Linked DNA regions of Caenorhabditis elegans. The protein of the gene in region 2 purifies or fractionates together with the protein of the main gene of each other region. This does not show direct contact. Each region holds a gene or a part of one and is shown on either strand. Other genes may lie near its edges. The genes, in order: R11G1.1, ugt-7, mltn-5 and srrt-1.

Region 1 (4,877 bases), on a different chromosome or scaffold from region 2:
AAAAAGTAGTAGCTAAAATTAAAAAAAGTTTCTGGTTACTTTTGGTGTTGGATCCGTTTCCTGTCACGACCCCCGTAAGAAAAACCTTTCCACTCAGACTTTATACTCTCTTAAAATATTTCATGTATATGTGTGCATGCAAACTTGCTCCGGAAGTTGCTAAGTTTTTGAATCGCCATTTTTTGAGTTTTCATGTCGGACTATACTTTTTGTCAACCAGTGTTGCAATACAACTGCACAAAACTCCGTCATAAGATTTATTGGATCTGAAAACTGATTTCTTATAGCTCACTGACGTAATTTATTAAATGTTACGTAGCAAAAAAAGATGAAGCAAGTTTTAAGAGTAGGTCAAGTGAGTTATTGGAGGTAGACTGAGTGGTCAGAAGCAAGGTCCACCACAAAACGGAAGAGCATAAAAGGCGCACCTCTGTGGGAGGAAAGGCAAGCGCCCGTGCGGTCATCAATTCTTTTGCTGCCCACTTACCAAAAACTATACTTTTTTTGCCGAATACCACATATGTGTTATCTTTCCTTTGTTAATCATGCTCAGATGGTTTCTTTGTTGGTGTTGACTAATAGTTTGTTTCAAGTACAATGACCTTGCGCTCATTTTTTTCTTAGTATAGTTTGAGCTCTCTATTTCTGGATATTTCTACTTTGTCCATCCATTTAGGAAGTTCGTAAAATATATGTACTGTATTTACCACTTCACTAAATTTTTTTTCAACTCCCTATCACTTCTTTAAAATACGGTCATTTAAAAATTACTTTCTCTTAATTAATCAAGAATTGTTAATGGCTAATTATCAAAAATAGAGGTATATTTGTTCATTTTTCAATTTTTTTTCTGGTTTATAAAGCTCCTCTGAAATATTTTCCTTGTTAAAAAATTAAAAAATTTATAAAATTTACCGCATTTCATATTGTATGGTTCATAATTGACCTCTTCTCATAGTCAGATTGGGATTTTACAATTATTTAACAATTTGATATTTATTTGCGTTTAATTAAACTTTAATAACTTTGTACCATTGTTTTTTATTATCAATTACTGAGTTTATGCCACTTTTTGAGAAAACTATAGCTTTGCTGCATGTTTGAATCCCTACAATTCTTGAAACATAACTAGATAATACATTTTCAAAGATACATTTTTTTCCGACCGCTTTCAAGAACATTGCAAAAATAAGTAATTACCACTTTTGAAACAATGTTTTTATAAGAAAGCATTCAAAACACGTTTGAAAATTTTAAATATGATATTTGATCATTTTGGCACGATCGGAGTGGTTTTCAACAATTTCCCCACTGGCTCCACCTTGAAATGTAAAAACAACTAAAAGTTATTTTTATACCATCTACATTCTTCCAAAAAAAATTATACTCATTCCCGAAACTTGTTCTTTACTTGAAAGAACTCAGCAAGATTGATGGAAAATGATCGGAAATGGAGGTTGCGCTCGCTTTCTTTTCTTGTCCCGCAGCCTATCTTCGTGTGTTTTCTTGTTTCAACTCACCGACTATAGTTACTGACGCATTCCAAAGAGCTATTATTGCTCATGTAATGGACACTGCTAACCAATTGTTCCAATGTGCACTTTAATCGCTCCTTATACTTTTCCTGTCGTATTACCCGCCTCCCAATCATGCCAGTATATATATTTATCCGAATAATTTTTGAGATGTTAAAAATTTTATTTTTTTTCTGCAAATTTTAAAAAGGTTTCGAAAAATTTCAAACGCTTACAGATCCCAATTGAAAAGATCAACATAATTGGATGAGTGAGACATTCTGATGTTGTCTGCTCAAGAGTACACATGTAACCAGTTCCAGTCTTTCCATGCTGACCGTCTGTCTATATTTGGTCGTCTTTCCAATTTTTGCTTCTTCGCAGTTTTTATCATATGATGGTAGGTGAAGCTTCAGAAAATTCAATTTCATGTCCCAATTTTCAGCAATTCGAATGAGGGTACCAGGACGTTGTATGTTGGGTGACTATGATTGCGGGTTAGGTCAGTGTGTTCCAATTTCTCAATTTCGAGATGGAAAACCTGATTGTATGGATGGTAGCGATGAATGTAAGTACATGAAGCAATATGATTTTAAGGTAATTCACGTTTAGGGTGTTTCATCGGTCAAGTTAGTTGTGGTCCAGTTTATTGTGCAGATTACAAAGATGCACTTCCATGTATTGTTTATCCTAAATGTGACGGTTCATCAAAACAACTTCCATGGTGTTCTACGTCAAGTGAGTTCATTTTAGGTTTACCTAATAATCTCGATTAGTATATTAGACATTTGAAGGGAGTAACTTCCTGCTAAACAATTGAAAACTGCCATGGAATTTCGTTTGCCAACTTTTTTGGGCAGTTTTTAATAGAGCATGTCAATTATTTAAAAATTCAGAATATTTTTATTTTGTCTGAATTTTTGTCATTTGTCTGCAGCTAATACTCAATAGTTGGGAGAAAAAACATACGGGAATAAGTTAGTGAAATTTTAAATTTTCAGAAGAAAAACTATGTGCGGATGAAACGTCATTTCCGTGCAAAGGTTACGGAGAGTGTGTTTTGTGGGAATGGTTGTTAGACGGGAAGAAGGATTGTAACGATGGCAGCGATGAAGGTATTTTTACTTTTAAAAAATTGGCAAATTGATAAAAACAATTTTTGATCGCAATAGTATGTAGTGTTATTCTCTGGAACTAACGTTTGTAATATTGTTTGAAGAAATATTCTTGTGTGGATTAAACTGGAAATTTGGAGAGTTCAAAATCAGAATTTGTTTTTCCAGACGAAAACTATGTGATGCCTCTTGAACACGCCTATAGATGTGCCAGAAATCAATCCGGACTCTATCTCCCAAAACCAGTACCACCACCACCGGAAGATCACCCGTCTCTCTACGTGGAAGGTTGCTCAATGTGCTCGAAACCATCTACCGTCACCTTGCCATCTAATCCTGTGATAGACTATACTACTCCAAAATATCCGTTTATTACATCTCCTCTGCTGGGAAATACAAAACCACCGTTGAGTAACTTCCCAGTATTTCCAAGTGAAGAATCAAAACTTGGGGATTTCTTCCCTGAACCATCCGGTGTCGAAATATCACGAGTAACTGGCTTCCACAAACCAAATGAGCCAATAGGAGACTTCTTTCCAACACATTCATCAACACCTGTACCTCCAACAGAAGCTGTCACTCAATCTCACACATTTCGCCTTATAACAATTCCATCAATTAGCCAGACGCAGTTTCCTCAGGCTCCGCTCATTTTTCCTGGACGGCCAGACTTGCCACCCATCACTGCGCCCTCACCTCTAAACAACTGGCCAATTCCAATTGTGACTACCACACCGGACCCACACCATCAAGGCCCACTTCCGCCGATTACGTATCCAACTATAGAAGAGGGTTCGGAAAAGATTCCACCAATAAAACCGGGAATTATAATCAGCCGACCGGTCACTTCAAGAAAACCAGATCTACCATCAGAGTTTGAGTATGGAGGAGGCACGGGTGATGGAATATCGCAACCACCAGGAATGAATCCATTTGACATGCTCACTAGGCCCAGTGTTCCAATGACAACTCCAGGACCTTTTGACATGTTTCCTAATGTACCACCTGTAGACCTCCGCCCAGTTACCCGACCATGGGAATCTGAAAAAACAAAACCTTATCCTGGTGTTACAATACCGGATGAACAAAAATCCGGTACCGACACGTTAATACCATTAATTCCTGGTCGCATTCTTCCAACTTTCGCAACACCAAGACCACTCTCCATTCCAAGTTTTTTCACAACTCCCCAGTCACCCCATAGACCTTTCGTAACTCAAAATCCTCCTCATGGTGCATTACCAACACTGATCCCACAAGCCGAAATTGAGAAGTATGTGCAAACGGAAGTACCACCTCACTCTGGTTTCGAAATACCGGGAGGGGGTTTCACAACACCTGGTAGCCATATTACCCATCCTTCGAAAGTTCCAGAAGGTTTCATTGAAGAAAAAACATTGCTGACGCCTTCTACAAACAATGCTCAGACAACTCAGATAGACAGAAATCTTACACCGAAAACCACCACTTTGAAGGCTACATCTCGAACAAAAATTATTCATGTTGGACCAAACGGGGTTGTTGAAGAAATCGATAATAATGAGTCGACGAAGATTGAAAATGAAACAAATTTGGGAGAACATGAAGGACAAATTGTACCAGGATCAGATAAAGTCATACACATTGGTCCAACAGTGAAAACGACTCCAACACCATCTAGTGGTACTTCAACGATTGTCACCGAAAACAGTTCAACCTTCGAATCGGTATCGACTTCAAGTGTTCCAACAACAACAGTGAAGACAGGTGACCCACAGGTTGATGACTGCCTCCGAAGAATGTCTGATTCTGGTGGATCGGTAATTTGTGATTGTCCAAATGGCCAATTCAAAAACACTGGGAACGGGCAATGTGAAGGTATTGTTCAAAATTGTATCGCTTTAATTAATTTTGCTTGAAAATATTTCAGAAACTCTTTCATTGGTGGTTGTCAAAGTGAAGGTTAACACAGTTTGTAATACAGATAAGGCATCGCTTGAGCAAAAACAGCGGATTTTACATCAAAAGGTAGATTTGTGGGTATCAATTATTTTTCATATTGGAAGTTTTTGCAGATTGGTCAATCTTATAAATCGTGCATTCGTTCGGCGGAACATGATTCTGCATTAGTTGCTATTGTTCAATGTAGTGACTGCACTTTGCAAGAGATCGATCGATTGTTAACGACAAGATCATTCGGGGAGCCTGGAAACTTGAATCTGACTGCAGAAGGTGAGTGTGCACAGCTTATAAACCATATCATGTAAAT
Region 2 (5,845 bases):
TAAAATAGGAAAAAAAAACACGATTTGTCTGTTTGCTACAATTTTATTTTATTTGACGATGATTTGGATAACATTTTCAAAGAACTCACTTACCCTCCATAATAAACTTTTCCATGAACAAAATTGTAAATTATCCAAGACATCATTGCTACAAACCAAGGAATTGAGAAGCCAAGTGCAAGACCATGTAGGATTCGGAATTTATCTAATTTTGAGTTTGCCGCCTGTCTTAACATTCGAACCCGAACCAGTCGCTTGCAAAACTTTGGGATCAAACCATTTTTAGTCCATCCAAAAAGGCATAGGGAAAATACAAATCCAGTTAAACCAGGATACCCGAAGAAAATTCCTTCTCCCCATCCTAATTCTAACGGCTGTAAATAAGTTAATTTAATTTTTATATACAGTGCACACTTACAGCTCCAACTGCTTCCATTAAAAATGAGATTCTTATTAGCGTTACCACAACCATAACAACTCCCAAAAGACATGTGAAAACAGAACAACACTTAGATTTTGTGGAGCAGTCTAGCAAAGAAGCTTTCACCAGGAATCTGAATGGACCAAGTAAGTCAGATGGTGTGTCATCTGAAAATGGAAAATAGTACTTTGAAAACTAGAAACTGAGAATTACCATCGAAGGAAGATACAGGAAGAGTTGACATTGTTACTGTGTATGTTTTAAAGTTTTATTTGAAAACTCTACTATTTTCAAAAATTTTCCAACCTTTATATCTATTCGTTGAATTGTTTTCATAAGCCTCGGCCTGCTAGCACAAATCATACAAAACGGAGCAGACGGAAAGTAAACCAAAGAGACGCAGACGTAGGGAGCAGCGACCAATAAGTTGCAATACATACCAGGAAGATCCACGACAAAAATGTTGGGTACATTTTGTATGATTCGTTGTGGTTGTGAGTCATTTTAAAGGAGATTATAGATACTCAACTTGGTGATATGACCTGAGAGATAGTTTTTTAATAATACACGCGGTTGTTTCATTGCGACGCTCTGTGAGCAATGAATGTTTCGAGAATTTGAGAATTGAAACAATTCGGCTTTTAAATATTTTCACCTCATTGTTGTGCTGACCAATATTTTGTTTGCTTTTAGTTTTTTGGGGACGAGTAATGTTTTCGAAACTACTCAAAATTTTTGAAATAAATTTGATTATTTTTGACCTTTATAGAACTCCTATTAAAAATCAAATTCGACTTCGGTTTTGTAAGTTGCATGCACATACTGTAGAAGTGATATTATTTTTTTAAGCTAAAATTTAGCTGTATATAAAATTTTAAATCAGAAATGAAGTATATTTGAATGAACTTTCAACTCACTTTTTAACGAAAATAAATGGTTCATATTGATTTTATTAAAATTCATAGACATGGAATGATTTTTAGAAATTTTCGAGAACTAGTTTTTTATTCAAAAGAATTCAAATTTTTTGACCGAATGTTTTCCATTTTCCATGTCACAATTTTCGGTCCAAATTATTATTCATACGCTGAAAAATCAACATTGCTGAAAAATTTACTTTTCTTCAATATTTACTATTTATAGATTTCTATATCCTGCAAGTCATTCAATCCTAGCAAGTGAGCAAACTTTCTGTGCATATTTTCTATGACTGAAAGTAATGAGTCATCAGTGAACTAGGAAAGCTGGCACTAAAAAAACAATTTCCAAAAGTTGATTTTGTAACTTCCGTCTCTGAACTTCTTAATGATAAGATAATACGTTTCTTTATCATCATTGCCTAAAAAGTAATCGTCATTTTTCTTATTCGCCATGCGTCTCGTGTTCTTAACTTTTTTCTTGCAATATTCTTATGCTTTTAAATATTTAATTATTTCCCCAATATACAGCTACAGTCATGTGAAGTTTATGAGTAACATTGCTGATACACTTGCAGATCATGGGCATGAAGTTGTTGTATTTCAACAGCAAATTGTTGAAGCTTTGCGAGATAAAAAAGTTATCAAAAATCCAGATATAAAAGTGAGTGTCTTTGGTTTGAAAAACCGTACGGATGTTTAAAATAAAGGTGAAGAATATATCAATTCGTTTTCAGATTATCAACTATGAAGCTAACACTGCTGGAAAAGAGTTCTACCGTAACCGCCCGAAAAGTTCAGTTACCAAATATTGGACTACCAATCAGGCCGCAAATCCATCGGCGGCAGATCAGTTTGCAGAGGCGATGAGCAAGGACTTGGAGCATATGTGTCTACGTAAGTATATTTTTTCGGATTAATTTAGAGGAATATCTTCACAATAATCAAATTAAAAACATCAGAAAAATTAATTGGAATTTTCTGGATAAATGCCGCTTGTCACAAACATTTCTAAATAAAGCACATTTTTCCGCAAAAAAATCCCATTTTCATCTTGTTGTCTAACAGTTTTTTTCAGAAATTTACATTGTACTTCTTGAAAATTATTAAATTTTTAACTGAAATGCTTTACAAGTTGCTGAAACTCTGACTTAACTTTGCAATATGCCCAGTTTTTGGCAGGCTGAAATTTTGTCCAGTTTTTGAGTAAACTTAAAAAATTTGAACAAGCTTCTGAATATTTTCGGACTCCTGTATTTTTTTTTCCAACTTGCAATATTTTCAGAAGTTTTCGAAGACAAATCTCTTCACACAATGCTAAAATCAGAACATTTTGATGTTTTACTTGCGGAACCATTTGATCCTTGTGGTCTTTGTAAGTGCTTAATTTTTCTCTTCCTTTCCAGCGAAATAACCCATTTTCAGATCTTGGAGACTATCTAAAAATTCCATCAACCATTGTTGCAATGGCTTCATCTAGAATTGACCCAGTTCAGTGGGCTCTGGGGCAGCCTAGCGGTCTAAACTTTATACCTGGACCAGATAGCAAGTATGGCGAAGAGTCTGGTGTTTGGGATCGTATTAACAATGTTTGGATGTTTTTTATGAGAACTCGAATGTTTCGAGCAGTTTATTGGAATCTTTTAGATAAACTAAGATTTAAAACTGGTCTTGAAATCAGAAATATTGATGTAAGATAGCATTATTTTCTGCTGAAAACCAAAGTAAAATGTATTTTCCAGGAAATCGTGGCCGAAAGTGCATACTTATTTTACAACTCAAATCCATATCTTGATTTTCCCTTTCCATCTCTCACGAAATGTGTCCCGATCGGCGGATTTTCAATGAATACTACCAATTGGAAATCTGAAAACTTGCCTGAAAATTTGAAAAATATTCTTCAAAAACGACCAAACACCGTTTTCATTTCATTTGGATCAGTGATCAGATCAGCTGATATGCCACAAGAATACAAGTACGATCATTTTAATTTGAATTCTGAAAATATTGAGCAGTTTTCAGAAATGCAATAATTGAAGTTACAAAATTGATGTCAGACGTTACATTCATCTGGAAGTATGAAGACGAGAAAGATGAAGAGATGAGGGGAAACATTCCAGAAAATGTACATTTGATGAAGTGGTTACCGCAGCCAGCATTACTTGGTAGGTGCATAATAATTTGTTGGGGTCGATTTTAAACTTTAAAAATTAAAAACTGATTTAAAATGAACTTTTTTAAAAATGTTTCTTCGGGGGCTTGTTTCAAATTTTAAGCGCATTCCGAACTTAATTACAAAATTTTTCTAGGTGCCAGAAACTTCCAGTTCAATAAAAAAAAATCTAAATATCAGGCATATATATGACCGCATTTTTTTATTGGAAGATTTATTTAGTTTTCTTAACTTTAAAAATTAATATCTGACTTCAAACTAACTATTTTCAAAATTCCCGTAGCCATAAAAAGTTTCATATCCGCTGAGTTCAAGAAACTTCCCGAACTTGATCCATACTCGAGGCATCTCAATTTCTTTCAATTCTTCTTTTTGGATATTGTGGCTACTTTGCTCATTTTATTCATGTTGTCTGCGTTGTTTGTTTATTGGATAACTTACGTTATTTGTTCGGTTAGGTCTAAATCAAAAATGGAATGATTTGAAAATGAAATAGTTAAATTTATTATGGTCTCAGCCATATTGGCCCAATTTCTTTATGTCATAAACGTTTCAAAATGTAAAAATTGAACAATTAGAGCTGTCATGAAAATCGTCGCCGTTTTTGGGCCACTCTGGTTTTTTAGGGCTGCAAACTCGGCATGCTTCACAAGTCGTTCGATTGGATTAATTGGTTGTTTTTGAAGAAGATTGGATAGCTTTTTGGCGTTCGCCAGATATTTTGGATTTTGAATCATATTTTGAATAACTTCCTTCAGTTTTTTAGCATTTGAAAAAAGTTTCATATCCGCTGAGTTCAAGAAGAAAAAGTGGATTTTCATAAATTTTAGTGCACAATTTGAAATTTAACAATTTTTAAAAATGTTTCTTCGGGGACTTGTTTCAAATTTCAAGCGCTTTCAGAATTTAATTAAAAAATTTTTCTAGGTGCCAGAAGCTTTCAGTTTAATCAAAAAACTAAATTTCAGGCATATATATGATTTTATGATTTTTTTGCATTTTTTTATTGGAAGATGTATTAAGTTTTCATAACTTTAGGCCAAATATTATAATAAAAACCTTTTTTAAATGAAAATAGAAGAACAACTTTCATCCTCCCCTAGTGAAATAATTTGAGGGGGTACTTCCCTCTCTAAATCTGAAAACCGTGACTTCAAGTTCAAAAATTCAGTTCGACTCCGAAACCAAAATGTAAAAGTATAACTGTGCACTTTTTCAACGCGCGAAAACGATTTCTCAAACACCTGTCAATATTTACAAGAACAGGCAACAAAGTTCTCTAATTCATTTGTATCTTTCAGCCGATTCACGTGTTTCCCTGTTTATTACTCATGGCGGTCTTGGAAGTATTATGGAAGTTGCGTATTCTGGAAAACCAGCAATTGTGATTCCCCTATTTTTCGATCAGCCGATGAATGGAGAAATGCTTCGAAGACATGGCGGAGCCGAAGTTTATTCGAAATTTGAACTTTCAAATGCTAAAAAACTGAAGAAAGTTATTCAAAATATGATTCAAAATCCAAAATATCTGGCGAACGCCAAAAAGCTATCCAATCTTCTTCAAAAACAACCAATTAATCCAATCGAACGACTTGTGAAGCATGCCGAGTTTGCAGCAGAATTCAAGAAACTTCCCGAACTTGATCCATACTCGAGGCATCTCAATTTCTTTCAATTCTTCTTTTTGGATATTGTGGCTACTTTGCTCATTTTATTCATGTTGTCTGCGTTGTTTGTTTATTGGATAACTTACGTTATTTGTTCGGTTAGGTCTAAATCGAAAATGGAATGATTTGAAAATGAAATAGTTAAATTTATTATGGTCTCAGCCATATTGGCCCAATTTCTTTATGTCATAAGCTTTCCAAAATGTAAAAATTGAACAATTAGAGCTGTCATGAAAATCGTCGCCGTTTTTGGGCCACTCTGGTTTTTTAGGTCTCTTTTGGCAGGCGATAGCGGGCAACACAGCGCAAGTAGCAAGTAGCAAGTAGCGACAAGTAACACCTTCACAAACACCTACGTGCCTGCCTACTCGCTTACTTTCCTCCATATCGATGTGCCTACCGATACTTACTTCATGTTATTGGGTTCCCTGAATCCCATTTTTTCCATAAGACATCATTGTTTTAATTGAAATATTTACTTGAACTTGTGTAACTCAATTCCTTTCCACCACTCACTGAACATCATTTTTATTTCAAACCCACCGAAGAACACAAAAAAAACAAACCTAAAAAAATGCCATACCGACTTCCGACGAACCTCAACTTGTTGATCTGAAAAACAAACATAATTTACTGATCTCCTTGTATTATTTGAATGTGTGTATTT
Region 3 (7,598 bases), on a different chromosome or scaffold from region 2:
TTGGTTTTAAAATTATTGGAAAGTTCTAGCATTATTTTTTGCTACAATCAATGGAGATAGTAACTTTTGCTCCAGAAGAAATTAGTCAGAACCTGAAAATTGGCGCCAAACTTATGGTTTATATCGTGCCGAAGTTTAACCCAATTTTATTTCAAATTGAAAATATGCTAGTACAAAAAAATATTTGGTAAATGATTGGTAAGAGTTAGATCAAACGTTTTACGCAACACTTAGACCAGGGGTGCGGCAAATCTAAAAATTTGACGAGCTCGGCACATTCGATACTTTTTTATGGTTTCTCTGGTATCTGATTAAGTTCCGTGTGGTGTGTCTGCTTAAACATCAAAATTATCCAATTTTGTGGCGTTTTACTAAATTTCTGAGGCCAAAATCAACAGTTTTGGCCAAAATTGTAATGCCAAGTTTTTGATGTGTGCGGCAAATTTTAAAATTTGCCGAGCTCGGCAAGACTTAGACTAGCAACTTTGATTATTTCTATCACATTATGCTGCTGGAAATGCGGTACAAGAATTGTGCCTCACCTTGCAAGATATCTCATCTTATAACTGAAAATTATTAAGCATTAATTTAAATTTATCATATTAAACAGACAATTATTTCAGCCTACTCTAAACCCATCACACTATATTTCCAGGTCCGCCAAAAAGACATCGTGCTCTCCCCAATCGTTCTGACCCCAATCATCAACAACCCTGTGCTAACATCTCAGCCTCTTATCCTCTCCCCGGCTCTCTTTGTACCCTTGATTCAATCTCCAGCAGTCTTCGGCGCAGTCATCCTATCACCTTGGGTATTTGTCCCTGTAATCATTTCCCCCAGAATTTTGAGCCCGGTAGTTCTTACCCCATTCCTCTTTGCTCCAATCGTTCTATCACCCCTTGCTCTGGTCCCAGTGATATTGTCCCCTGGGATCTTAAATCCTTTTATCCTATCACCTCTGGTTCTGTGCCCCTTTATATTGTCCCCTCAAGTCATGACTCCGTTAATTCTCTCTCCTTTCGCTCTAACTCCCTTGATCCTTACTCCACTATTATTATCCCCAATTGTCTTATCACCTTTTGTGTTATCTCCACAAGTGTTATCACCCCAGTATGTCACTGGAATTATCTTGTCCCCGTATGCTCTGTCGCCGGCGATTGAGTCGAAGGGTGAAATGGTGACGGTTTTTGCATCTCCGAGCTGGCTTAGCTAGATGAGAGAAAAACTGAAAAATTGTATAATTACTATGGGTAACTAATAAATACATTTCATTAATGGTTTAGTGTAGGGCTCCCAGATTAGTAAGACGCGAAATGCGGGCCTCACGCCGCTGTGTGTGGAAGCGGCCGACACGTTTAGGGTTCCGCAGCTTGGCGTGAAACGACTAGCTTGGTGTGTGCGCAACGTAGTGCGTAAGCTTTGGAAGCGGCCGACAAGTTCGGGGTTCGGCGGTGACCTCATGGAAGTCCTAGTTTAATGTTTGAAAGTTTTTGAAAAAATGGCCTTTTTTGGAGGAAAATTCGAATTCAAACTAGAGTTTTCTTCCTCTCCCGCCGAAAAAATCAAAAATCAGTGTCATTTTCATTTTCATTTTCCCTAATTGCCGTAAAATCCAAAACCGCAACACTTTTATGTCGGAGAAGGCGTGCTTTGTTCCCCGGGCTTAGGAAGTTTAGCGGCGTCGTCTATGATCCTTTTATCGCCTCCGGAACAAATTGATACCGATTCCTAAAGTGTATCCAATCATTTGATCTTCATTATTCTTTTTCCTGGTTCAAAATGATGGTGAGGATAGGGCTGGTGGTGATGCTGATGTTTGGGAAAGGTGAGTGGATATTAATAATCAATGTAAAATGGTGATTATCTTTGTCGATAAATTCGGAAAATCAGCAAATTGCGGACTTGCCGGTTTGCCGGAAATTGTCAATTTCGGCAATTTGCTGGTTTTCCGATTTGCCGGAAATTTAAATTCTGGCAATTTGCCGATAATTTTCTCCAATAAAGTTATACGCATTTGCACCAAAATAAGGTGTTGGGTCTCGACACGATAAGCCTTTGAAAAGTACTGTAATTTCAATTTTTAGATTTTTCGTAGTTTTTGCATGCATGCGTTTTTGCTTTTCCATTTCATTTGTTGATAAATTTGTTTGCAGCAACGAAAGTTTGAAATTACAGTAATATTTAAAAACGCAAACCTTTTTGTATTTAACAAAAATTTAGAATGTCGAGACCGGGCACCGTACTCCGGCCACAAAAATCGCAAAATTCTGCGTCTGAGTAATATCTTTCTAAAAAACTTTCAATTTGCCTGAAAGCTTCTAAATTTTTTTTAAAGTTTTAGAGGGTGGTTGGGTCAAAACTGTAATATTTCAGAAGCTTCATAAAAATTCCAGTGACTTTTGAAATATCTTTCTTTTTTTGTTGATATTTTTCGAAATTTTCACTTCTAGGAATGGAAGAGTCTCAACTTTTTTTTGTTGGTAATTTCCGATTTCTCGTAGAAAAAACCTGCCTATAAGGCCGCCTGGTAGGCACGCACGCAGGCATCCAAAATGTGATATAATTTTTCAATGATCTTCCGCACTGCAACTTTTTCCTCACGAGGGACGAGGAAAAGTGGTTTCTAAGCCATGGCCGAGGGGCCGACAAGTTTCAGCGGCCATTTATCTTGCTTTGTTTTCCGCCTGTTTTCCTTCGTTTTTCACAGTTTTTTCCCGTTTTTTCTTATTAAAACTGATAAATAAATATTTTTTGCAGATGCTAAGACAATTTCCAAGTAAAAAAATTATGTATTCAGTGGGCAAGCAGCGGTGAAAGTGGGCATTGTAATATGATGGATTACGGGAATACAAAACCTAAACTTTTTCTGAAACATGATACATATGATGCTTAGATGCTGAAATTACCTGATTTTCATAACGAGACCGCTGAAAAAGTTTTGAGGTTTTCAAAATTCAACTTTTTGTGCGAAAATCTCGACTTTTTCACCAAAAAAGTTGAATTTTGGAAACCTCAAAACTTTTTCAGCGGTCTCGTTATGAAAATCAGGTAGTCTCAGCATTTAAGCAGCATATGTATCATATTTCAGAAAAAGTTTAGGTTTTGTATTCCCGTAATCCATCATATTACAATGCCCACTTTCACCGCTGCTTGCCCACTGAATACATAATTTTTTTACTTGGAAATTGTCTTAGCATCTGCAAAAAATATTTATTTATCAGTTTTAATAAGAAAAAACGGGAAAAAACGATGAAAAACGAAAGAAAACAGGCGGAAAACAAAGCAAGATAAATGGCCGCTGAAACTTGTCGGCCCCTCGGCCATGGCCTAGAAACCACTTTCCCTCGTCCCTCGTGAGGAAAAAGTTGCAGTGTTCCGAACTATGTGGCGCTTCAAAATCCCCCTCAATTTTCATGTGTAGTTTGATGAATTAAAACTCAATAAAATAAGTAATTCCACGCGCGGACTCCTCGCGATCAAAATGAAATGCGCAGCATCCCCAACTGATTTATCGACGGATAGCGTCGCTCCGTTTATGTACACAGTCATAAAAGCGGTGGGGTCGTAAATGTTTAATAGTGGCAGACAGATTGATGGCGATGAACCTCGAGAAATACGGATCTTACAGAAATTCATGGAGCATTAAACTTGGAGAAAAAATTGAATGTGACCCTCACTGCTAAGGATATCAAAGCTTCTCCTTACTATAAGGATAAGGTACTCTCCCTGCCAATTTCCAAAGAGTCTGGAGCAGAACTTTGGCAGCACTGGACGGATCAAGCATTTTCAGGGCTCATATCAGCAATTGCTACTAGGAGGTGAGGGGTTTCTGGTTTTCTGATCTCTAGTAAGCTCCGTAATTTTCAGGTTAAAATTAGTGGAGAAATATGACAAGAAAAAGCATGAAAAGTGCTCTTCAAAAGCTCATGATATCACTAGTCATGCAAAATGTCTCGTTGATTTGGAGAGTGATGGATTGAAAAATCGATTGCTTAAGAGAAAAAAGTACTTTGATAAAAGTAAGTTACTCGGTTACTCGGGAGAAAGCTCAGAAATAGCGTCCAATTTCAGAGACCCGCAGCTCAATTGAAAAAACGCCGCAAAAAACAGTAATGAAGCCAGATAAATTGAAGAAGCTTAGAAGTATGGAAGCCTATGAAGCTTCTAAAAATCCTAAGAACAATAGAAAGTTAATAGGAAAAGCGGTGAAAGCTAGAAATTGGGTAGGATCATTCAAGACGTTGCGAGCAAAGCGATCGGTCAAAAATGCAAACAGCTACACATTGAAGTCAGACTATGACAAGTAAGTCTGCCTACCTCATGCCTACCTACTGCCAAAAATTCATACGACCCTTTTGCTCAATTTTGTGACATGCGTGTGGTTCTATATATATATGTATATCCCATTTTCCATTTTGCAAGTCTTAGAAAATTTCTCGACGAGCTTCCTAAGATTCCAACTCAAAAATTCTAGATCCCCATTTGCAACTATCACCAAACATCTCAAGAATACAGTCAAAGCCTTGAAGCACAAGGACAAGCTATCCAAATGGCAGGAGATAGTTGAGCGTATACAGAGAAAGAGCATTGATTGGAAGAACCGAAAAGAAGCAGAGAATATACAGCGGAAGAGGTTGAGAGTGTTTCAAGAAGCCAAGAGAGTCAGAGCAGATGAGAGCATCGGACGTTCGGGTATGAAGAGGAAGAAGCAGGACAATGGATTTATGAAGGTCAGTTTATTTTAGTATGGGAGTACTTAGACCATTGAAATTATCACTCTAATTATAAATTTTTTATGAGGGGAGAATTTTACTCTACCCTACCCTTTTTATAATTCAGTACAACCAGACGGCCTCTGTTAATCTCTTGTTCTACTTAGTGTTTAGTTATAGTTCTACCACAGTGACAAAAACTCTGACAATCCAAAAATAATTTCAGACTTTATCCAACCCTGAACTGGAGAAGTTGATCGACGACGAAGACGTCAAGGACCTCTACTATCAAAAAGTCTCTAATATGGCAGACGACGAAAAACTCATGATGGTACCAATTGACATTATTAGACAGGCTACCAAAATTGGATTGGAGCTCAGCGGTCATAACACCACAGATTTTGATGAGAAGTCTGTCAAAATGATTAGCCCTCGGTTTATGAGTGTTTTACCTGAAGACAAGAAGGAGAAGAATGATACGGTAGGTGGATGTTCAGGAGATGTGATTTTGAATCTTACAGATCATTGCAGATTGAACTACTCTCACCTTCTCTATTCTCCTTGCACAACTCGGGAACCGGACTTGAAAAGAAGACTTCATTTAGCTCAATTCTCGGAGCTCTCACTACTGACACCGACACCCAGAACTTTTTAGATCTACTGGTAGAAGCCACTGGAGTAGCTGAGGCCGTGGAAGACGCTGAGCACAAATTAATAGATGCTCAGAGAAAGAAAGATGATGCGATGGGAAGAGGTCCTGATGGTCAACCACTTTATTTTACGAAAGAGAATATCACAGAAAGATTTCCATCAGAAGCGAGGAAGATAGAGTTAATGGAGAAGTTGGATAAAACCTATTCAATTGAACAACTGAAAGATATGAATCAAACCGGGTATACTGTATTGACACCGAAGCAAATGCAACTGATGTACGGAAAACAGTCTCCGTTCAAGAATCCAAAGTTATTGAGGACTTATAAGAATATGACGAGGGCAGAGATTCATAGATCGATTCACAGTACGATTAAGGATGTGGCAGATGAAAAGTTGAAGTTTGAGGTGAGACTTGCTACCTTACTTACTTAGAATACTTACAATTAGTAGAGTAGATTGATCTGGACATTCGGGTTTTGTGTGATTAGTATCTGAGATCTGACCAACTTTACTTATTAACAGCATAGCTCTATAATAAGTCATGGGACTCCAAAACTGTCAGGCCAAACGAGTAGCCTACGTTAGCAAAATTTGGCCGATTAAAGGTAGAGTGCCGAAAAAAAAAGTTATGGCCGCTCAAAGTTTTTGGAAAAAATGGCCTATTTATAGCTAAAATCTCAAATTTTGGCAACTTCTCGGTGCTGCAGCGGTTGGAACTTAATTTTTATTTGATTGTCATCCTTTACTGCATGTTTTGGCATTTTATTACGTGTTATTTTGTTGGCTGAGATGCTTTTTTGGTCGATGCGGGCACAAACTTGTATCATCATTTTTTCCAACCGCTGCGACACCGAGAAGTTGCCAAAATTTGAAATTTTAGCTAAAAATTGGCCATTTTTACAAAACTTTGAGCGGCCATAACTTTTTTTTGAAAAATTTTCAGAGCGTCTCATTACGAAATTTGATAGTTTTGGACCATTTTGGGTCTAAAAAGCAAAGTCTCAAATTTCGGTACTCCACCTTTAAACAAGAACTCCTACTGTAGTTCTGGCCACTTTCGTAAAAAATCAAAAATTTCCAGGTCCGCCAAAAAGACATAATCCTTTCCCCAGTCGTCAATACTGCTCTCATCAATGCTCCAGAAGTAGCATCGCAGGCACTCATCCTCTCTCCCGCCGTCTTTGTACCCCTGATCAACTCCCCCGCAATATTTGGATCCGTCATTCTGTCCCCCTGGCTATTTGTCCCCCTTATAGCATCGCCTCGAATCTTGAGTCCAGTCATTCTAGACCCATTTATGTTTGTCCCTATCATCCTCTCACCTGTTGTTCTGGACCCAGTTGTGCTATCGCCGGGGGTGTTCAATCCATTCATCCTGTCACCTTTGGTCCTATGCCCTTTTATTTTATCACCTCAAGTCATGACCCCGCTGATTCTTTCCCCTTTTGCACTGACACCCCTCATCCTGACACCTCTCGCATTATCCCCTATAGTTCTTTCACCATTTGTGTTGTCACCTCAAGTACTGTCACCACAGTACATATCAGGTCTGTTCCTCTCTCCATATGCTCTATCCCCGGCGATCGAGTCGAAGGGAGCCATGTTTACGGTATTTGCGTCTCCAAGTTGGTTGAGTTAGTAATAATTAATAATGATTTTGTTTTTATTTTCAAACAAAAATTGTTATTCAGCAATAAAGAAAATGCGGAAAGGGAAAATGACAAAGAGATATGTGGAAAGAGAGATTTTTTGATAGGAAGTTAAAAAAAGTTAAAAAAGCAGAGAGGAGAGCGCAACGAGAATTGCTAACACTGAAAGCGATTGACAATTGCTCGTGGAGATGGCCGAATTGCATCGATCGCCAAGGCAACTGCATACCCGAATGCGTTGAGAGTCGGCGTGTTCGTGGCTGAATAGGTCGGACGCTGACATGTCCCTGGAAATGGATTTGATTAACCTAGGCCAAGTGTCGAAAGCTCCAAAAAAAAAACAAACCTGCAAATATCATATCTATCGAACATGCTGAGCGTATGATTATTTAAGCCTCTTCTAGCTATCGTCAGTGCGCAGCCACGCATGTAGAGACGGTGTCCTGTTGGTTGACCTGGAAACTCAGAATTTGATTCAGAGTTGATACACGGCCCTCTTGTTTTATTAATGTAAGAGCTTGCCAAACTAGGCCATTTTGAGTCGATCACGGCTGGGGTAGATTTACTGCGCGTTGCGTGTCGC
Region 4 (5,122 bases), on a different chromosome or scaffold from region 2:
TCAGCAATCTCTCCAGACGATAAACCGATTTCTCCTCGTCGTGGAATACGTTCTCCGCGAGCCGCGTACGCAGCCATTCCGGCGCCCTCTCCTTTTAGTAGATCTTTACCATAGTTTCCGGGCTTCTCAACATCATAACCACCACCTTGATCACGTTGTTTAATATGTTCTGGGAGAATTGGCGTCGGTGACATACTTCCTTCTTTCCATGTTCCAATCGTGCCAACAATCTTTTCAGACTGCTTTTCTTCCCATTCTTCTTCAGTATCAGAACGATTATTAATCTTTCTCTTCAGCTCAGCACGTTCTTTCTTTCGTTGCTCACGACGAGCTCTTCTCTCTTCTTTCTCCTTATTTGCCTTTTTGCTCTTTTTCTTCTCTTTCTTTTCCTTCTTTTTATCCTTTTTACTTTTCTTTGATTTCTTCACCTTCTTCTTCTTCTTCTGTTCAAAATCACTTTCCTCCGATTCAGAAGATGTCGAAGAATCGTCTTCAGAAACATTTCTAACTGCTCTCATTTCTCTTTTCTTCTCCTTCCTTCTATCTTCTTTCAGTTCTTCTCGTTTCTTTTCATTTTCTGCTTGAATCTCTTCAGCCGCAACTCTCAATTTATAAGTGTCATGTATCTCCTCATGAGTTGGCGAATGTCCCCAGATGTTATTCAGGCCATCGGCTTGGATATTAACTCGCTGGAAACGTCTTTTTGACCACATTTCAGCTCTACGATTTTCTTCTTCATCCCTCCAATTTCTAACAGGCGGCGAGCCGCTTCGTTGTCGTTGTCTATAATTTCTTCTTGGTGGAGACTTTGAACGGCTCTGATCTCGTCTACGTTTTGCTGGTGGTGGACTTCTTGAGCGTTGTTGTCTTCTCGGAGGAGGAGATCGACTCCTGGAAACTTGACGTCGTGGTGGAGATCGGCTTCTTCTGACTGGGCTCCTTGAAATTCGACGACGTCTTGGTGGAGAAGGACTACGACGAGTACGACGTGGTGGAGATCGGCTTCGTTTTCTTGGAGAATCATCACGACGTCTTCGTGGCGGTGAGGCACTCGGAGCACGAATTGGCTCTCGTTTTCGTTTTGGAGGCGAATTTTTTACAACTGGGCTTGAAGATCGAGAACGGGAGTCTGATTCGGAACTTGAACGGCTTCTACTTCGACTACTTCTGGAGGAATCTCTGAAATTATAAATTATAATTATTTTTATTTTAAAAAAACGTAAATTTCGCTTCAGAAAATCCAAAGTAGTCTCAAATTTAGAAATATTACAAAAGAAAATCGAAAAAATCCAAGTTTAAAAAGCGCGATTTTCCTATTCTGGTTTGAGAAAATGTTGTATTTTTTAAGCAAAAATTGATTGAAAACTCACCTTTTTGACTTCCACATTGGTTTGTCTTTGTCCCCGCTGCCACTATTCGTTCTTCTTCTGTTCTAAAAGTAATTTTAAATGAAAATAACATTTTTTGAACGTGCAAAACGGCAAAGTACCTCTCTCGACGATGATCTTGAACTTCGTGAATCATCTGAACTGCCTTCATAATCCAAAGAAATATCACTCATCTTGTGAATTGAAGTAGAAATCGGCGCGCAATCAAAAAATTCCGGAATTCAATAAAAAAATGATTTCGAAAATGACTGGAGATAAAAAAGAACAGAATTTCTGCGCGGCGGTGTTGCCGAGCAAGTCTCCGCCCACTTTAACCGTGCGGCGTGCAGCGTTCAAATTGGAAAAAAACATTGCGCGTTCTTTAGCATATTTTTCAGTGATTTTCTGCATTTTCTGCTCGCAAAATGTGTTTATTTTGATCCAAATAAATTTGATTTCTTCTGAATCACTTCAATTTATCAAATAAATTCTTATTTACAGAATGGTGGACTCTGATGATGATGGCGATCGCCGCCGTGACAAATTCGCCCGTGAACGTCGTGATGAGGAGTAAGTTTCTTTCTATTATATTTCAAATACTAAAAAATCACTCATTCTGTTTCAGTTATCGCCGTGGTGGAGGCGGATTCAATCGCTATGACAACAAGCGTCCTGGAGGACGAAGAGATGATTACCAAGTAAAGCGGAGTCGTGGAGAGTTAGTATCGTTTTTTGTTTACGTTGAAAATCTATGTTTTTTCAGCGACGCAGATGACAGTTTCGATCCCGTAAGTCGTTCTGGTAATGGTTCGGATTTACCCACTGAATCGGATTCCATATATTCGGGACCACTTCAAACATTCAAAAAGTTCCTCACTAGCCAGGAAGATGATATCTCGGAAGAAGATGCTATCAAAAAATATAATGAGTACAAGACAGAACATAGAAAACATCAACTTGAACGGTTCTTCCGTGCCCATAAAGACGAAGAATGGTAAATTTCAGCTTCGATTTTCAAGACCAGAGGCGCATTATGCCGCGGTCAACGGATTGGTTATATCTTTGAATTTTTCACTCGGCACGGATGCCATTCACATTTTGTTCCAATACCCGTTGTCTTTTAATATCTTGAGTTCTAATTTTTCAACATCTATTTCAGGTTCCGTCTTAAATACAAACCGGATGATGCGAAGAAGTTGCGAGAGGCGCATTTGGAAAATGTGCAGAAGCGCTTGCAGGTTTTCAATGAGTTGAAGGAGCAGGGACAATTCAATAAATTCTCTCTGGATTTCGGAGATGCGGAGGCAATCATTAGAATGCTAGATTCAGGTAGATTTTGTTTTTAAAGGTTTCGAATATATGTTTAATTTTGTTGTATTTTCAGTTGTTGTCAAGCTGGAAAATGGAACTGAAGACGAGTTGAAAGCTGTTCTGGCTCAAAAACTAGAAGACGAGTCACTCGCTGACATTAAAAAAGACGAGAATGGGAATGGAACCGAACAGCCGAAAGAAGAGCCAGAAGTAAAACAAGAATCCGGAGCAACGGAAGAGTTGGAAGAGGGAGCCATTGAAGATGGAACCGAAAAGTCATCGAACAAGGTCAACATCCACAGAACCTGCTCGGTTTTCTTGAGAAATATCCCACCAGGTCTCACATATGAGGAACTAGAGGGTCTCTGTAAAAAGAGCCCAGGATTTTTACGTCTTGCTCTGACCGATGGAATTGCCGAAAGAAAGTTCTACAGAAGAGGATGGGCTACATTCAAGCGAGATATCAATATCAAAGAAATCTGCTGGGCACTCAACGCACATCGTCTGCGAGAAACTGATCTGAATGCAATCATCAACCGTGACATTACTCGTCGTGTTCGTACCAATAATGGGATTGCATCTCATAAGCAAGTTGCGATTAACGATCTGAAGCTTGCTGTCAAGCTCACTGTTCTTTATGACAAGAAGATTGGTTTGTTCAACGCTGCTGATGAAGCTGATGCTGATCGTGAGATGGATATTCGTATGGGCGTTGATTTAGTCGCTGCTTCAACGAATCCGTTGATTAAAGAAGTTAAATCACTTGTTCCACATGATGTTCTCAATGATATTAGTGAAGAGGAAGCTGAATTATTGGGAGTCTCGAATGGAGGTGAAGCACCAGCTGAAAAGATTCGGTTTGAGCGCGATGATAATATCCTGAAGGCTCTCGATCTTCTCATCGTTTACCTTCGCATTGTTCATTCCATCGATTTTTATAATCACGGACATTATGCGCAGGAAGATTCGATGCCGAATCGATGTGGCTTGATTCACGTTCGTGGGCAGCCGCCTTCTGGAGTATCAATCACTACTGACGAGGATGGAGCTCTCGTCGTTCCACAGAAATTTGTGAACGATTTTATTTCGGGATTCAATAGCCGCATTGAGAAAGGGTTGATTGAAAAGCAGTATGTAAGCGAGGAAGAATTGGAGAAAATGGGCAAGAAGGATGGAGAAAAGTAAGTGAAAAAATTTGCTTTTTTAAAAATAATTTTTAACAAACCCAAATTTTCAGGGAAGTTGAAGCTTTTATTCAAAAGAATACTGTCGAGTTGGCAAAGGATAAATGGCTCTGTCCGCTTTCTGGAAAGAAATTCAAGGGACCTGAATTCATCCGAAAGCACTTGCAGTCTAAACATGAAGACAAGCTGGAGGAAGCGAGAGCAGAAGCTGACTTTTTCAACAATTATCTTGCCGACGCCCAAAGACCAGTCGACTGTGAGCCCAAACAAGCTCCAAGAGATGATCATCGTGGAGGTGGTGGTGGTGAGCGAGGTGGATATGGAAGAGAACGAGACGATGATCGAGGACCTGGTGGTGGAGGAAGTGAGTTGTTCAACTCTTGAAATTTCATAAATATGATTAATTTTCAGGAAACTCTTTTGGCGGTGGAGGATATGATCGTCGTCCCCAATTCCCTCCTCGACATTCACTTGGTGGACGAGGTGGTGGTGGACGCTACTTCGAGGATGCGCCACGTCGTCAGCCAGTCTCGTATCGCGATTTGGATGCTCCAGATGATATTCCATAATTCCATCCTACGTTGAATCCAATTCAAATATATGCACAACAAATTATGCTATTTATTTCCCCCTTCTCAATTAAATATTAGTTTTAACTAAATGTTTTTGTATGGCCAATAATAATCTCCTTTTTTAAAAAACGCTCCATTTTCAATACGTCCCTAATGAAATATGATTCTGTGTAACTCAACGGAACTTTTTATTAGAAAACAATCATCATAACAAGAAAAGTAAATATAACATTTAAAATTAACAAAAGTACATGTTTTCCCATCTCACTTGTCCTCCAAGTGCATCTTTTTCAGTCGGAGGTAGAACACAGGAGCAATGGGATCATCTTGGTGGGTTACTGTCTGGAAAAATACAGAATGTTGAAAGTTGGATTTCAAGTATTACGGGAGCTGAGAATGTGTATTGCGCAACATATTTGACGCGCAGATTGTCTCGTAGCGAAAACTACAGTAATTCTTTAAATGACTACTGTAGCGCTGTTGTCGATTTACGGGCTAGATTTTTTGAGATTAATTTCTTTTCGAATAGTGACAGGGTTTCTTCACATAATTTTCTATATTTTTTCGATAAATAAAGAATTTTAATTATTTTCGAAAATCAATCCCGTAAATCGACACAAGCGCTACAGTAGTCATTTGAAGAATTACGGTAGTTTTCGCTACACGATATTGTGCTCGCCAAATATGT

Evidence for each region.
Region 1: the proteins of ugt-7 (region 2) and R11G1.1 fractionate together in Caenorhabditis elegans (co-fractionation; one large-scale study listed by BioGRID). This does not show direct contact.
Region 3: the proteins of ugt-7 (region 2) and mltn-5 fractionate together in Caenorhabditis elegans (co-fractionation; one large-scale study listed by BioGRID). This does not show direct contact.
Region 4: the proteins of ugt-7 (region 2) and srrt-1 fractionate together in Caenorhabditis elegans (co-fractionation; one large-scale study listed by BioGRID). This does not show direct contact.

The regions. Positions count from the first base shown.
Region 1 is NC_003284.9:3,657,648-3,662,524, forward strand, and holds the start of R11G1.1 (EGF-like domain-containing protein), read left to right. Parts: upstream 1-1,844; coding exon 1,845-1,914; intron 1,915-1,959; coding exon 1,960-2,082; intron 2,083-2,126; coding exon 2,127-2,252; intron 2,253-2,515; coding exon 2,516-2,629; intron 2,630-2,797; coding exon 2,798-4,486; intron 4,487-4,538; coding exon 4,539-4,636; intron 4,637-4,683; coding exon 4,684-4,840; intron 4,841-4,877.
Region 2 is NC_003283.11:4,996,506-5,002,350, reverse strand, and holds ugt-7 (glucuronosyltransferase), read left to right. Parts: upstream 1-1,784; 5' UTR 1,785-1,792; coding exon 1,793-2,002; intron 2,003-2,075; coding exon 2,076-2,235; intron 2,236-2,623; coding exon 2,624-2,713; intron 2,714-2,763; coding exon 2,764-3,029; intron 3,030-3,080; coding exon 3,081-3,313; intron 3,314-3,360; coding exon 3,361-3,503; intron 3,504-4,812; coding exon 4,813-5,303; 3' UTR 5,304-5,330; downstream 5,331-5,845. Other genes in the region: srr-8 (Serpentine Receptor, class R), read right to left, coding at 94-374, 419-588, 635-665.
Region 3 is NC_003280.10:13,923,512-13,931,109, forward strand, and holds mltn-5 (MLt-TeN (mlt-10) related), read left to right. Parts: upstream 1-1,697; 5' UTR 1,698-1,779; coding exon 1,780-1,825; intron 1,826-3,628; coding exon 3,629-3,818; intron 3,819-3,867; coding exon 3,868-4,019; intron 4,020-4,071; coding exon 4,072-4,303; intron 4,304-4,474; coding exon 4,475-4,730; intron 4,731-4,938; coding exon 4,939-5,193; intron 5,194-5,243; coding exon 5,244-5,771; intron 5,772-6,447; coding exon 6,448-7,005; 3' UTR 7,006-7,085; downstream 7,086-7,598. Other genes in the region: hot-3 (Homolog of Odr-2 (Two)), read right to left, coding at 7,137-7,302, 7,362-7,470.
Region 4 is NC_003279.8:4,130,632-4,135,753, forward strand, and holds srrt-1 (Serrate RNA effector molecule homolog), read left to right. Parts: upstream 1-1,868; 5' UTR 1,869-1,869; coding exon 1,870-1,937; intron 1,938-1,992; coding exon 1,993-2,085; intron 2,086-2,130; coding exon 2,131-2,361; intron 2,362-2,526; coding exon 2,527-2,696; intron 2,697-2,751; coding exon 2,752-3,859; intron 3,860-3,915; coding exon 3,916-4,226; intron 4,227-4,273; coding exon 4,274-4,431; 3' UTR 4,432-4,606; downstream 4,607-5,122. Other genes in the region: let-504 (NF-kappa-B-activating protein C-terminal domain-containing protein), read right to left, coding at 1-1,179, 1,371-1,432, 1,490-1,561; dph-6 (Diphthine--ammonia ligase), read right to left, coding at 4,699-4,776. UniProt on the Caenorhabditis elegans protein: Acts as a mediator between the cap-binding complex (CBC) and the primary microRNAs (miRNAs) processing machinery.